Drosophila melanogaster: one gene and its partner. The protein of the gene in region 2 interacts with the protein of the main gene of each other region in a pairwise test. Each region holds a gene or a part of one and is shown on either strand. Other genes may lie near its edges.

What was found. Proteins that work in one complex are often made in the same cells at the same time.
Region 1: the proteins of E(spl)m3-HLH (region 2) and ase interact in a two-hybrid assay, tested with the Drosophila melanogaster proteins (one study listed by BioGRID).

What each region holds. Positions count from the first base shown.
Region 1 is NC_004354.4:457,672-465,681, reverse strand, and holds ase (asense), read right to left. Parts: upstream 4,936-8,010; 5' UTR 4,727-4,935; coding exon 3,266-4,726; 3' UTR 2,506-3,265; downstream 1-2,505. UniProt on the Drosophila melanogaster protein: Involved in the determination of the neuronal precursors of optic lobes in the central nervous system.
Region 2 is NT_033777.3:26,018,826-26,025,562, reverse strand, and holds E(spl)m3-HLH (enhancer of split m3, helix-loop-helix), read right to left. Parts: upstream 3,741-6,737; 5' UTR 3,544-3,740; coding exon 2,869-3,543; 3' UTR 2,436-2,868; downstream 1-2,435. Other genes in the region: E(spl)m4-BFM (enhancer of split m4, bearded family member), read left to right, coding at 1,070-1,528.

The DNA.
Region 1 (8,010 bases), on a different chromosome or scaffold from region 2:
GTCAAAACATGGGAATATAGTCCTAGGACGACAGGGTATGAGGCCGACGTGGATTCAGTGACATTAGAAATATGTCCTGGAAAACATGTGCAACCAGACCTAGGGAGCAGTCTCGCTTATTGCTTCTAAAACTGGACGACGAAAGTCACATGTGTTATCCTTAAGCATCTTGCTTGGGGCTCAATTAACGAAAATTGATGGTGGTTAAAAATTTCGAAATATGTGTATAGATGTGGAAATAAAATGGAATGGAATTGGCTCAGATCTGTTTAGCAATTCGCAGATCATCAATGGTTGAAGTAGAAAGTAGGGAAAATTATGGGAGAGGGCTTAGGCGAACCGCAGGAGGTACTAGAAAGTGTTAACCCGCTTTGGGTTTTAACGGTTGTCCAGAGTTATTTTTTTGACTTGGTTTCTTGACCCGCTTAGGGTTTTTGAGCGCGGAGCGCACACTTAAGTGCTTCATTGTGGGTTGAAGTACGTCCACTTAAGGACTTAGAAAAACTGAAAGCCGTCGAGTATAAGTATCTGCTTAAGTCTAAGTAGCTCGGCTTGACCGGCAGTTAGTTTCGGAAGACACAGTATTACGAATACTATTTGCCAGAGAAGTCTCTCTTTGGTCCAATGCTGAATGAAACGGAAGGATGAAATCCTTGAATGAAAATATAACCTTGCCAACTGGTTACTGGGGATCAGCGGATCAGACCTCAAAACCATTACCGTTTTCTTTGAATATACAATAAGCGAAGGTAATGATTGCTAGATGACATGGTTTTCCAAAAATTATTAAAGATTTAAAATTCGAAGAAATTATTTTTTTTTTCGTGTCACCTATCTCAATTACGAGATCCATCGAGCCAACTCGGATTCGGCGGGTCAAAGGCAGCATCTGGTTCCCGGGATAACTGCAGTGCAATGTGCCCAGAAATTGGATAGTCAGTGGATCAGAGAAGTAGGGGTGAATCCAATCAAGTCAGCGGCAAGAGCATGCGCACACGCTAAAGTGAACTTAAAAACAGACGGCATTCAGTAATAATGCATTCATAGAGGCGTGGTCTAAATGGCATAATGGGGGCACAACTTAAAGCGACTGCAGCACCCAGAGCTACGAAAGCAAATCTGCCGATCGAAGGATACGATAGGGCTCATATTCCTTATCGGTGCTAAGCCTTTAACATTCACCAAAAACACAAACAACAAAAAGACGCACATAACGGCAATGATTTCCCAGTTCAAACAGTAAAAATGCGAAATTCGACCCAAACTCGGAGGTGTACGGTTGAGGGGCGTGTCGCATTACCAATATTTAATAATTATAACGGTGCGTGAACAATTTTCACTGCTAACGGTGAACGGCGCACCCACCACACGACCAAAAAAAGAATGATAGGAAAACACCTTTGCACCTGGATGGAAAAACTGAAAACTGTTGAAAAAGGGGGTTGCAGGCGATCTCAGGCGCTCAGGAGCGCGCCAACACATACATATACACAGCGAAAAAAAAAAAATAGTAATGGAGGAAAAAATGCCTCGCCTTGTAATTTCGACCTCAAAATAGATCGTGTTGTTTCCTCAGTGTACTACTTAGATTTCTTTGGTTTTCGGATCCTGCAGATGCGAATATCATTTGGCACAGGCCATCTATTCTTAATGGAAAACGATTTCAATTGATTTTCCTTACAGTATGCCTGTCTTATGTAGTTTTGCATCATCCATATCCATTGGACCGGCCCTTTCTTATTTTTTTTTTTTTTTGGTTTTTCTTCCGTTTTGTTTTATTTGGGCAGATGTCCCAAAAAAAGGGACGGGTAGAGAGACATGAGAACACGTAAGCACAGGACAATGAAGTCCTGAGCACAATTGGCAGGAGAGTATAGCGCCAAGTAAAAGTGAGGGTGAGTAAATATCGTGCAAAATAAAAGACGTGCGTGAAGGCTTGGCAACTTTGTATAAAAAAATATATTACCATTCCCTTAAATATCATTGAAAATATTTTCCAAATGTTAATGAGGGTCTGTGTGGTGAGCATGACAAGGTTTTAAAACAACTTCAAGTTTGTAGCCGCTATTGGAATTTCAAGCTGTTTTGGCTTTTCACTTCTTGACTTCTATGAGGACAGACAGACTAGACTCTATTTTTAAAAGCAATTCGTTTGATTTGCGGTTGCCGGTTAGGTCCTAAATAATAGTTCACCCTAAAACCGCTTTCTCTCAATTTCCCTAATATTTATTTTGGTGCGTTTTTAATTACTTGTGTCATTATGAATCAAGGCACATGTTTAAAAAAGAACCGCTAGAAAAAAATCCGAATTCTGTCATTCTGTCACAGAAGGAACCCCATTTTGAATATCGAGTCAATAAAGCACCGGAGATATACTGTGCCATAAGACACTCTCTAAAATATAAAACACCTTTTTTTCTAAAATGTGGTACAAATTATAAATTGTCATTTAATATACCTAATTTTCGTTGAGAAATAAAACCACAAGAAACAAATTAAGTTTTTGGAAATGTTCATATTTATTTGCATTTATTCAAAAGCATATATTATCTGCTTGTCATTTTAACGTTCCTACAATTAAATCTATAAAAAAAAAATATGGTTACACAAATACATTAATTTTTGTTATATACTAGACACTCTGTTAGTCCGGCTCAACATTAAGCCGTTTATCAGGATAACTATTTTGTGGTTGGGTCTTACAAGGTTATTTCCATTTGGTTTATATCACTAGATGACTTTAAATATGTAGTGTTCATACATTCATTTTGTCACACTCTTTCAGAGGATATTATAATATGTCTGAAGGTAGCAGTGAGGCATTTCCGACCCCACATCAATAAATATTCATGATCGGCATGTCTGGTGATATAAAAGGTGACTCGGGCAGGATCGATCAACAATATCATACGTACAAGTACCATAGCAAGAATCAAAAATGTACATATATTTTATAGAATTTGGAGAATATACAAATCTTGATGAAATCGTAAATTTGTGATAAACTTCATCGAAATTGTGCGAACTTTCATATTAAATACATGGTTTTAACAGCAAAGGTATATAAGCTTCGGCTGGCCGAAGTTATCCTCCTTTCTCGGCTTAAATTGATATTTACACAATGACTCAGTCATGGCTTGATTAAAAAAAACTTTAGATAGAATGGCCTGCCACAGACTTATGCTGTGAGGATTTAAAATCATTTAAAAAGTATGCCAAAAAATGCAATCGGCTTTTCCGAGATGCGTGATGTGAAAAAATTCGGCTAAACGGACAGATTGGTGCATGCACCATTAGATTTAGGTGCATGTGCCTCCCACCAGTCAATGGCATCGATCATGCTCTCGTCCGAAAGGCAGCCAGCGGTTGTATTGTTGGGCTGATCTTGCTGCAAAATATCGCTGAATTCCTTCTTGAATCCGGGAAGGACTACGTTGTCGTAGAAGCTCACGGGCTCCTGGTCGTAGAACGCGGGTAAAATAGGCGACGATCCCAGGTTCTGAACTTGCTGCTGCTGCTGCGGGGAAGTCTGTGCGTTGCTGCTGCTGCTAATGTTGGTACTGACGTATTCCTGTTTGATTACTTGCTGTTGCAGCGGTGTGGCACACGTCTGTGTCTGTAACAGCAATTCAGTCGAGGCGACAGGTGAAACTGGAGAAGAGCAGGGACTTCTTACCACCTTTTGTGGCACGGGCGATCGCGATAACTGGCCCGAAGCAGCTGTTTCTTCAAGTTTTTGCTCGTGACTCAAATCGCCCAATAAGTCAGTCGTCAGCAGTTGGTAGGTGTTGGTTCCTGGTATTCTGATGTATTGCAACCCATTTAATGTAGTCAAACTAGGCAGGAGATCACTGGCTTGCGGAGGGTTTAGCATATCCTCGGATAAAGTTTGTTGGACAGTCTGTTGCTCATCCATTTCGTAGTTGCTCAGCGAGTCGTCGAAATGTTCATCCAGACAATCGAATTCGTCCTTAATAAACATAAAGCTATCATCGCCGGAACCAGAACTATTCCCCTGACTGTTGAGAGGTGGAAAATCAAATCCCAGCAGTTTTTCCAAACTTCTTATGTACTCTACGGCCATGCGGAGGGTCTCCACTTTGGATAGCTTCTTGCTTGCTCCTCTACCCGCCCCCTGGGCCTCAAAAGCCTCAGATACTTCTTCTGGGATCTTCTCCCGGAGTAAAGCAAATCCATTGTTAACCTGCTTCACGCGATTTCTTTCCCTAGCGTTTCTACGGGCAACGGCTTGTGGCAAAGGCAAACCCTTTCTTCCAGGAGTCCCAAAACTCTGATCGCTTTGGCTTTTATGAGGGTGGCTTATAGTTCCTGCTTTTGGGGGCCTTTCAACCGCCAACTTCTTGTTGGTCTTGCATTTTTTAGCAGGCACTGATGTTTTACTAAGCTGTTGATTCTGCTGGTTGTGCCGGTTCTGCTTTTGGGATTCTCCCAGGGGCCTCTTCCGTTGACTGGATATGGGTGTGGTGTTAGTTGTGCTGGCTGCGGCACTTTGAACAGCGCCCAGCATGCCAAAGTCCCGGATCTTTCGAATAATGGTGTTCTGATTGGCTATATGCTGTTGCAAGGCGTTGGCGCCACTCTCACTTAAAACATTGTGAACGGTAATCTTTCCAAAAGGTTTCAACGTGGTTTTTATTCCTGGATTGGGGTTTTCCTTGGGGTTTTCTTTTGGAGGAGGTGATGGGCTGAAGCTTAAGGCGGCCATAATTAAGTTTTTTGATTCGTGGCTTTTTGAGGGCGGGAGAAAAACTGGTGGCGATTGCGGGTGTACTTTTAGCAAGTTAGTCCTTCTTGAGTGAATGTTAACTGGTGACTGATGTAATATGGTTTCCGTGTCCTTGCATCAGGACAGCTGCTGGCGCTCTGTGTCGCGTGCCCCTAAACTCCGAACTCAAACTAAAACGCAAACCCAACGGAAGTGACTTCGTTGACTGACATACACAACACAGAGCACACACATACAAAACAGAAGGCATTTGAGGTCCTGCGTATCCCTTATGTAAAGGGCCTGACTTTTCATCCCCTAGACTGGGTGTCCCTTCTCGATCGCTCACACATACACCTTTATCATATATATATATTATATACAGTACGGCTTTTGGGAAAACTAACATCTGATCAACTCGAGCCAAAAAGTCCACCTGGTTCAAGGGTGGATTTCGCCACGCTCTCTCTCATTATTTATCGGCAGCAAACACATTATGCTTATATACCGCCCCTATTAATATATGGACATTATAATAACCATATACGTATGCATATAATAAAAAGTATATTCCCTGGGGAGCTTTTTCAGCCCTGGTTTTCAAGGAATGCCCTACCACCTAGGAATTTGCAAAATATCCTAATAGATCACCTTAGACCTCCAATATTCGTCATGTAAAACGCAGAAATGCATCGAATCTTTATTTTTAGCTTATAGCTAAAACCAAGGACTGGTTTCTACTTCATTCGAAAAATGTCTCGGGATCACCTATTGTTAACTTTTCAAAAACTCGTACTGGATAATATATACATATATTTACCAGGACTTGCATTGGCAAAAACATTTTCCTATTGTTAAGCTAATAAACAGCAAGTATATACTGCGAAAGTAATGTCTTAGGTAATTCACAGGGCTACAATTTATGTTGGAAATTGACAAGATGCCAGAGAGCCAATTTAAATCCTTTAAGGGGTGAGAAATCACCCATCCTTCTCTACATTCTTGTTTTTTCTACGTCTGGCAAAAAATTTCTGGCAATTAGTCCGGTGGGAAAATAATTTTACCAGTGCTTTATTTCTATAATCTATTCTTTTTTTTGGAGCTTAGGTCTATCTGTGCAAACAAGTTTTCGAGTGCTACAATAAACTTTTTTGATCCTTCCTCTCAGGTAGTTTCCAACAAACCTGAGTAAATAGAGGAGTATACATATGTGTGTGTGTTGTACTTGCTGCACAATTTATAAACTTGAGTTCACTTAAAAGGTTCAAGGAAAAGGACTTGAGCGCAGGATAACCGGCGGGGAGAAGAAACTTGCGACGACCGACTACCGGTTTTTGATCCAGGATGCCACGTCCTCATTCCTCATTATGCAGACGAGCTCTCAAAGAAAAAGGAGTCAACGCTTGTGCGTACTGAGGAGTATTTGAGTACTGGGAAGTACTGCTCGGCGTCCTTTGTTGTCCTAGAGGATTTGACTCGGTTGCGTCCCACTTTGACGACGCATCGCAGCACTCATCTCAAGGAACTGTTCCTTGCCCCAGCCACGCCTTTCGTGCACTGCAAGAAAATAGTTCATAATTAAATTAACCATACATAAAAGTAGCGATTCCAAAAATATTACATGTAAACGGTTTCAAAAAAGTTTTGCCCCAAGACGCGGCATACCTTTTCGAATTTACTCCCACGTTCGTAAAATTAAGAACCTGCGTTGTAGTCCTGTCACTCTTTTTTTTATATATTTTTTTGGCTGTTATCTTTGGCGGATCGAAATGTTCCAATCTAGGCAAATACAATTTATGAATGGTTTCTGGTTTCTGGTTTATTTGCATTTTAAAAACGCATTGATTTCAATGGGAAAATATCTTTCGACGAGAGAAACGCCAAATGGTAATGAAACAGATGAGTAAACGGAATTGACGCTAGCGTGGAAACATACTGGATCCTCCATGATTTACTGAAACCTGAAGTCGTTCTATTTGGCTTGACCCTCCAAAATCGTAAATCAATCTGCCAACGCATGCAAGTCGCTTTGATTTTCCAAAATTTAAGTTCCCTCTTCTTTTTCCATTTTGTAACCGGAGAAAGGCGCCGGGTGAATATGTCCTGGGCCCATATTCTGTGTGTACTCGTCGTTGACTCAAGTGGATCCTTTAGGATGCTTCATCATTTAGCATCTGTGCACAGTTGTTCGTTCATAAATTGTTTTACCGCTTCTTGTTTTTTCATATTATTATTTCGTCTTTCGAGTTATGAGTGTTGAAAACTTGATGGAACGGAAGTCTTTCCGTGGAAGTCCTTGAAATAACTTTGGAGTCAAGCACTGGGGGAAAAGTGAAAGGACCCCAGCCGAGAACTACACAAAAGGACTCGCTCTACGGGTGAACACCATTTTTGGGACATTGTTTAAGGAAATGTTTGTGACGATGCCTTCTAATTATTACATATTCCCCCCATCGGATCGTGAACGAGTTACAAGTGACCGGTGTACAGATATGTAACTCTTTCTAACTATAAACTAAATAAAATTAGCCAAAAAATTAAGGAAAAGAGTTACTCCCGAATCATTTCTGCTATTTATTTAGCGGCAAACTGTGTCCCGTCCTTGCAGCAAAAATGAGCGGGTGCGGGCTGTTTTAATACCTCTTTTAAACAATACATGGGGAAATAGCGAGTTTCTATTTAAAAACTGCATTCGACTTTAAAGTGAAACTCACAATTCACGCTGATCGGAGTGGTAAATTGTTTTCAGATCGCGCACGTGCCTTGTGCTCTACATAAATGTGAGTGAGTGTCTGTGTGTCTTCTACCTGAGATCCTACACAGAAAAAAACCATCTTGAAATAAATGTGGTGAATCATGCAAGAAATAAATACGCATTCCGTCGTCGTGTTCTTGTAATGGATCTTTTTTTGTAGCCGGATTGGCACGTCTTTTCTTCTTTTATAGTGATATCTAATATTACAAGCATTATTCAAATTTTTTAAACACTTATATTTTTGTAATATATTTATTATATTAACTAAGGACACCATCTTATATTAATCCATTTTTAAACAGTCGAAGAGTGCGTACGTGTTGTATAGTTTTCTCTGTGTGTCGGGGACACTTCGACCAAACGCATGGTCTTTGGATTTTAGGGTATCGGGGACCTTTGGCGCGCTTTCGGGGGTATCCGAGCAATAATAAATTATCCTCACCCTCACCTGGCTTCTCATTTTTCCTTTCTCATCTCCTTTCTCGCTTACTCTCTTCCCCTACTGCTCCCCTCTCTTTTGAGCTAGGTG
Region 2 (6,737 bases):
CTTGGCTTCAGCGCCTCACGCGCCATCAACGATCCACAAATAAAAAAAGAAGAAGGAGCCACACAAAAAAGATCAGGCGCTCGCTGTGCGTGTGCTCCTCCAACGATGTACTCGTGGTCCTGCTCCTCCTTCCCTCTTACATATTTTTTACCCATCATAATACGAATCGGTCCCCTGCTAATTGTGTGCCATCAGCAACAGAAATTAAAAGCAACTCCTTCGTCGACGATCCTTGTCCTCCAGCTCCTTTGCCATCTCGCTCCTTCGGGCAACGCCTCGCCTCCACATACAATTTGATAAATTTCAAATTACAGCGCATTAAATGCTCGCAGTTAAGGATTCCTGGTCCCTCGTCTGGGATCTGTGTGCCCCCTACTCCATCAAATTCTACGGATTGTTTGCCTATTGAGCTATTTTATCTTCTGGTTTCGGGCATTAATTGTTCGCCTCCGTTCGAGCGTTGAAAATTGAAAATATTCTCCCACGTTCTCGAGCTGCACACGTGTTCGAGAAATGGAAAACGGATTTCCCCCGCCCCCCGGCTCCATCATTGTCCGTCCCGCTCGCACTGCCTACATAATGAGATAAGTGCACATAAAAACCAAAAGTGATCGGCAGAAAAAGGGAAAAAAACGAATCTCCTTGTCAAAAAGGATCCTTTCGAACCGAAACTGTGGGAACTGGTAGAAAGTCTCGTTTCTCACGATCCTGCAGCAGGATAAAATTGCCCGCACCTTCAACAGGTGCGAGCGGAGCGACACTACATGCCGTCACACTCCGACGCACGCAGGTTAATGCCGATGCAGTCCCTTTTCGAAAAACACACCTGCCGTTTTTGTTGTTGCCTCGCCATGTATCCGCACTGTGTATAGGATTTTTCGGGACACGTATCCTTGTAGTTTCCCACACTCGGTGTTTTGTGACCTGCTCGGCTTCGGGTTTCTCCACGTCCTGGCGAGTATAAAAGGACCCTGGCTCGGAGGATCAGGCATCATTCGAGCTCAACGCTTCGTACAGTACACATCTCAGCTACACAGCAGCTAAACACAAAATTCCAAAACACATCATCATGTGCCAGAACAAGATCAACACCAACAACACCATGACCATCAAATCGAACAAGAAGCTGTCCTACAGCGTGAAGAAACTGCTGCAGAAGATCTTCAAGCAGCAACAGCGCGTCGAGGAGGAGCAGAACCTCAAGAACGCCCTCAAGGCCAACTCTTTGGAGTCTCTGGAATCCATGGAAAACAGCCGCAACGCCGATCTGGAATCCGCCTCCATCTGCGCCTCTCTGGAGTCCTGCGAGAACGAGGCCAACGAGCGTCTCTCCCAGTCCTGCGAAATTGAGGACTACGACTTCGAGCAACTGCCCACCGTTCCCGTTCACTTCGTCCGCACCGCTCACGGCACATTCTTCTGGACCGCCGTCTCCGATTTGCCAGCCGACAACGACCTCGTCGAGCCCCTCTACTGCAGCACCTCCAACGCCATCGCTATCCCCCAGGATCGTTGGGTTCAGGCCTAAAAAATATCAGCGTCCTGCAACCTGCATCCATCATCCGGCAACTATGTCTTCCATTGGATCTCCAGCTTTAATCAACGTCTTCCGTTAATTTTTGAAACCATTCCACAAAAATTAACACGCAAGCCGATCAACTCAACTGAAGAGCTTTACAAAAATTGTGATACATTTTACTTAACAAACACAAAAAAATCAAAATATATATACAATTTAAATGAAATCAACCACTGTTTTTTTTACTTTTAATCATTGATAAATCGTATGAAATGGGCCTTCTCTTAAATCACACATTTGGAAATTGGTAATCTTTACCAAAAATTGTGTTACATTTCACCCAAAAAAAAAATAATTGAATAGGAATCTAAATTCTTTGTTTCCCCCTTATTGTTCCAACAATTTTCCGTTTACAAATCAACACAGAAAATAAATGGGGAGCGAAGTCCTTTCTTAATTGGCATGACTCATTTGAAAAACGAGCGGACCCTAATCCGATTCGATCCTGAACCTTTTTTGGTCTTATTGTTGATCAATTTACCTGCCAGCAGGTAGTGCATATTGACGGTTGTTGTTTGGCCTGTTGATTTGGACCACAATGCCAACCAGTTATCGGGCAGGTAGAGAGGATCTGTTGATTGCCGATCAGATTGGTGGTAAGAACAGGCTCCAATTAGATGATCTGCTTATGGGAATGAATCAGGGTCGAGTCGAAAATGTGTTGCATACATTTGAGGTGATGTTCAATTAAAGGTAATTTATTGGGGCAGTAAACAACATTGGCGGACTGGGACAAGAATGAACAGTATTCCGTTAGGTTTGCATAATATCGTTCAGTTTGTTTATATTTATTAATATAACAAAATAAATATTTTATAAAATTTTGAAATCCCGCAAAAGAAAAACATTGTGTTTTCAATTTAAATCATTTATTTTATTTGGGTAGTGTATTTTTGATTATTCTTTCTCAACTAATCATAAATTAACATTTATAAATTATTTAAAGCTTAATATATGCTAAACAATAAAGAGAGCGCAACGAGATATTAAACTTAGGGAACTTTTGGAGTAGGAAAATAGCGCACTCGAATATATATTCACTGATTGATTGATCAACGTACTTTAGTTATATCACAGTTGAAATTAAACAATTAATTTACAAATTACCATTATCGGAACTAAAACTAAAAGTATTTCAAAACCATTCAGAAATCGATTAGACCTCAATTAACTTAGGTTGATATGATTTACTTTGGAAGACAACGGATCTTGTTGCAGAACGGTCAATAGCCATTTTTTTGGGTTGCGATTATAATATTAGGGATAAGATCCATATTGGGCACGCCCAATTACCAGGGCCTCCAGACGGGCTCAGAGGCGCCGGACTCCTGCGAGCTAACCGACGCCGTCTCGGATAACGCATTGCCATCGACGGATGTCACATCGATCAGTTCGTCCTTGCTGGTCAGGAAGGAGCTGTAACTAATGGCGGCAGCGGCGGCTGCCGGTCCATATCCTCCCAGCAGCGGGAAGGCTAGGCGGCCTGATGATTGCGGTATTTGCTGCTGCTGGTGTTGTTGCTGTTGCTGCTGCTGCTGGAGCAACTGCGTCTGCAGCTCAATTAGTCGCGTCGATAGGAATTTCATTATCTTGCGCCCAATCTCATCGGTTTGCTGTGTCTGCAGCAGGACCTGGGTAATCTGATCGGCAGCATGCACATAGCCGGAGCGAAAGGACTCCACGTGGGCGGTACTGGTTGAGGTGGGTGGGCTGCCAACACCAGCCACTACTCCCTGCAGCGAAAGACCACCCCGCTGCTTGAGTTTCCTCATGTGATCCACGGTCAACTCCAGGATATCCGCCTTCTCCAGCCGGGTGACGTGCTCGCCCTCCTGCTGCAGGCACTCCACCATCAGATCCTTGAGATCGTCCAGACACTTGTTGATCCTGGCTCGCCGTTTGCGCTCCAGCAGCGGCTTCATCACCTTGCGGTACTGATACGTCTTGGACATCTCCATGACCATGATCGATTGGGTTGTTTTATGTTGTGTATTTTAAGGATTGTTCTTTTGTATTTAGTCTCTCAACTGCACATTATCACTACTGATTTTGGTTGGTTTCATAGATTGGTTACTTTTTGACGAGTTTGTTGCGCGTGCGTTGCGCGTTCCACCGATTGCGGTGCGTTCGAGTGGCGGCACTTTTACGAAATGAGTGGCAAACTAGTTCCCAGCCCTACTTTTATATGACAGCCACGCTCTCCCGGCAAACGGGGATCAGGCTCTCCCGGCCACAAAGCTCCCGCATGATCACTCACACACGCTCCCAGGCACTCGGGCCCAAGATCGAGTTCCACTTCGGTTCTTTTCGGTCGCGGATCGGTAGCGGCGCTCGGCAGCGGCACAAAGAGAGGCTACTGTAGGCCATCGATGATGGGGGTTGTACCGTCTGCAGGGGGTACAGTGGGACCATCACCATGGAACTCTTTACCTTCTTAATTATGCTTATTATAAAAAATAAGAAATAATCCATTTTAGCAATGCGAATATAATATCAATATTTTTCATTTCCAATAGTGTTAAATTTGTGTTCTTTATATTTTGCTACAACTATTTTTTATATGACTCTCAAAAGTATGCAACATAATTGTTCAACCAAAAGGACGATTTAAAAATTTGCTAAATTTTAAGACCTGAAAGAAAGCAATTTCAAAAAATATTAATCACTTACAAAGTTAATAAAACTGCAATTATTTTCGTAAAATCTGCTTATTGAAAGTAATACTATTAGTCCAAAATTAGTATTATTAACCGAAACTAGTCGACTTCGAACCAAGGTGCATGCAATGGGAGCGAGCGAGAGCGTGCCCCGCCGCAGATACAAATGTATCTGTATCTGCAGCTTTGGTGCTCTGGCGCGCGTCGTCTTCAATTGATTGCATGGCCAGAGGGAAACTGAGCAGTCGGCAGTCGACAGTCGGCTTTCGGATTGGATCTCATTCTCGGCGACTGCGCGTGTCTCTCAGGCCGCTCCACCCCGCCCTCCATCCCCCCTCATCCATGTCATACTTATTGTCAATGATGACAGTGCTCGGCTCCCATTCGCTGTCGAAGTCCGCTGCTCCGTACCGCTCACACCAACAATGAGAATGAGACACGAGGGAGCCTACGAGGCAGTAGCCTATGTGATTGTGGGTCCCATGGCTCAGTGGATGGGGATGGGTGTTTGTGTGTGTGTGCGGTGTGCCTACTTTACGAGACCGTGGGAAACAGATTTGTCGTGTGTTTCCCACACGTTGGACGGATGGCTGGATTGTGATGCGATCCGATGGATTGCTGAAATGTTGTTGCTGTTGCTGCTGGTTGATTTCAAGCGGGTTGACTGTCAGCCGCCAATGGGGGGCAGTGGGCGAACTGGTGAGGGATGGCTGGGTGGAGGGGCAGCCTTAACTCGCGCAATTATGTCGCATGCTTGGCTGATGATGATGACTGCGACAACTGCACGTGGACAAAATGTGCGGTCTTTTTGGGAGTTTAAAGTAGATTTGAAACAATTTCAATAACAGCAACTATGTTAATTACCAATAAATATAGATCACCCCATTTCGGAAGAATGGAAAATATATATATTTTGATATTTTACTTATAACCGAATTCAAATGTAATCAGTTTTTTTTTTTAAGTTTTCAAATATTTCTCACAGTGCACAACCACCACTATGGCTGGGGCTGTGGGTTGACTTTTCGTTGAAGCGTATCGATTAAGTGTAACAGTTTCGCTATCTCGGCGCATTGGGGGTTCCAAAATGAAAGAAATAAAACTCTTTTTGCATAGTCCGATTACCAACCCTTCGGCATTTGTCGCCTTTCGTAATAAACTTTAACATCCGGTTGTCGTTCTAAGATTCGTTTTTCGCCCGTCCTCCACATATTTCTTTTAATTCGCTGATCTCAGGGCTACTGGTCAGCACTGAGTGTATAAAATGTTGCCTGTTTTTTATGCCCCTTTTTTCACAGCTGCTGTTGGGCCGACTTTATCACCATCGCAGCAATATGACACTTGTGGTTGGACGCCTCGGAGTTATTTTTTGTGGCCGTGCTTTTTGCCTGGCTAAGCATTTCCCATGATGCTGCAGAATCGCTCTGTTTGTTTGTCTTCTGGCCATGACTTCCGTTAGCCGTTTGGCTTGACTTGGCTTGCCTTTCTGCTGACTGGAGCCATAACAATTAAGACTCTCAAGGCATTTCGATGGTTCGCCTTTCAAGATGCCTCAACTTTCAACTCGACCGGCACACGTGGCGTATGAGTAATGCGAATATGCAAAATAATCACGCAGACACCGATGGACAGAAATAGAGAGACCGCAAAACCATTTTCGACTAACCTCAATGCACACTAATTGCTTGTCATATATGCCCGTCTGTTTGTCTGCCGATGTATATATAGTTTTGCACAAAACTTGTTGCCATCGCCAGTCGTGTGAACCAAAAGCTTAAAAGCCAAATAGTTGCTGATGGGTAAAGGCAGTCTTGACGGGTCATCGATTAGCGAATTGCCAATGCTCTTGAGAGATATAATAAATTACATTAAGTCCCCATTAAGATAACTAGTACTAGTCTGTAAATTAAAAAATTTTAAGTAAACATATGATATTTAATATTAATATTATAACAGCAGTTTCCTAGCATATCATGAAAGTCATATCTTCCTGAATCTATGTTCATATGTCCCAAAGACCCATATAAGAGAGAGTATGAATCGCCTAACGACTACCAGAGTCCGTTGCTGAAAGGCACAAGCCCAGGCACAAGCTGGCCTCTGTTGGAGCTGCAATCGCAATCGCAGTTGGAGTCGGTGCTGGCTTGGAAGTCGCGCTACGAGTTGGAGTCTCAGCCGGTGTCCGTGTTGCCAAGTCAGTCGCTTTCAATTTGGCAAACGTGCAGTTCAAAGCCTAGACGCTGATTGGGGGCAAAAGTGCGCGGGCTGGTGGGGTAAGGGAAGTGCTGGTGGTGTTTCAGCCAAGATTAATAGCGGCCAAAGGCAACAGAGTCAAGTCGCGTCGAGAGATCTCTGGTGCGCAAGCGTGCGGTGCACACGCGATTGGCACGAGTTTCGGGCACAAAATATATATATGAAGAAAATTAAAACCCGATTCGTAGCTGAGCTGGCCTAACTAGTTATGGCAGCTAACTCCGATTGTTGTGCAGTGTGGGAACCTG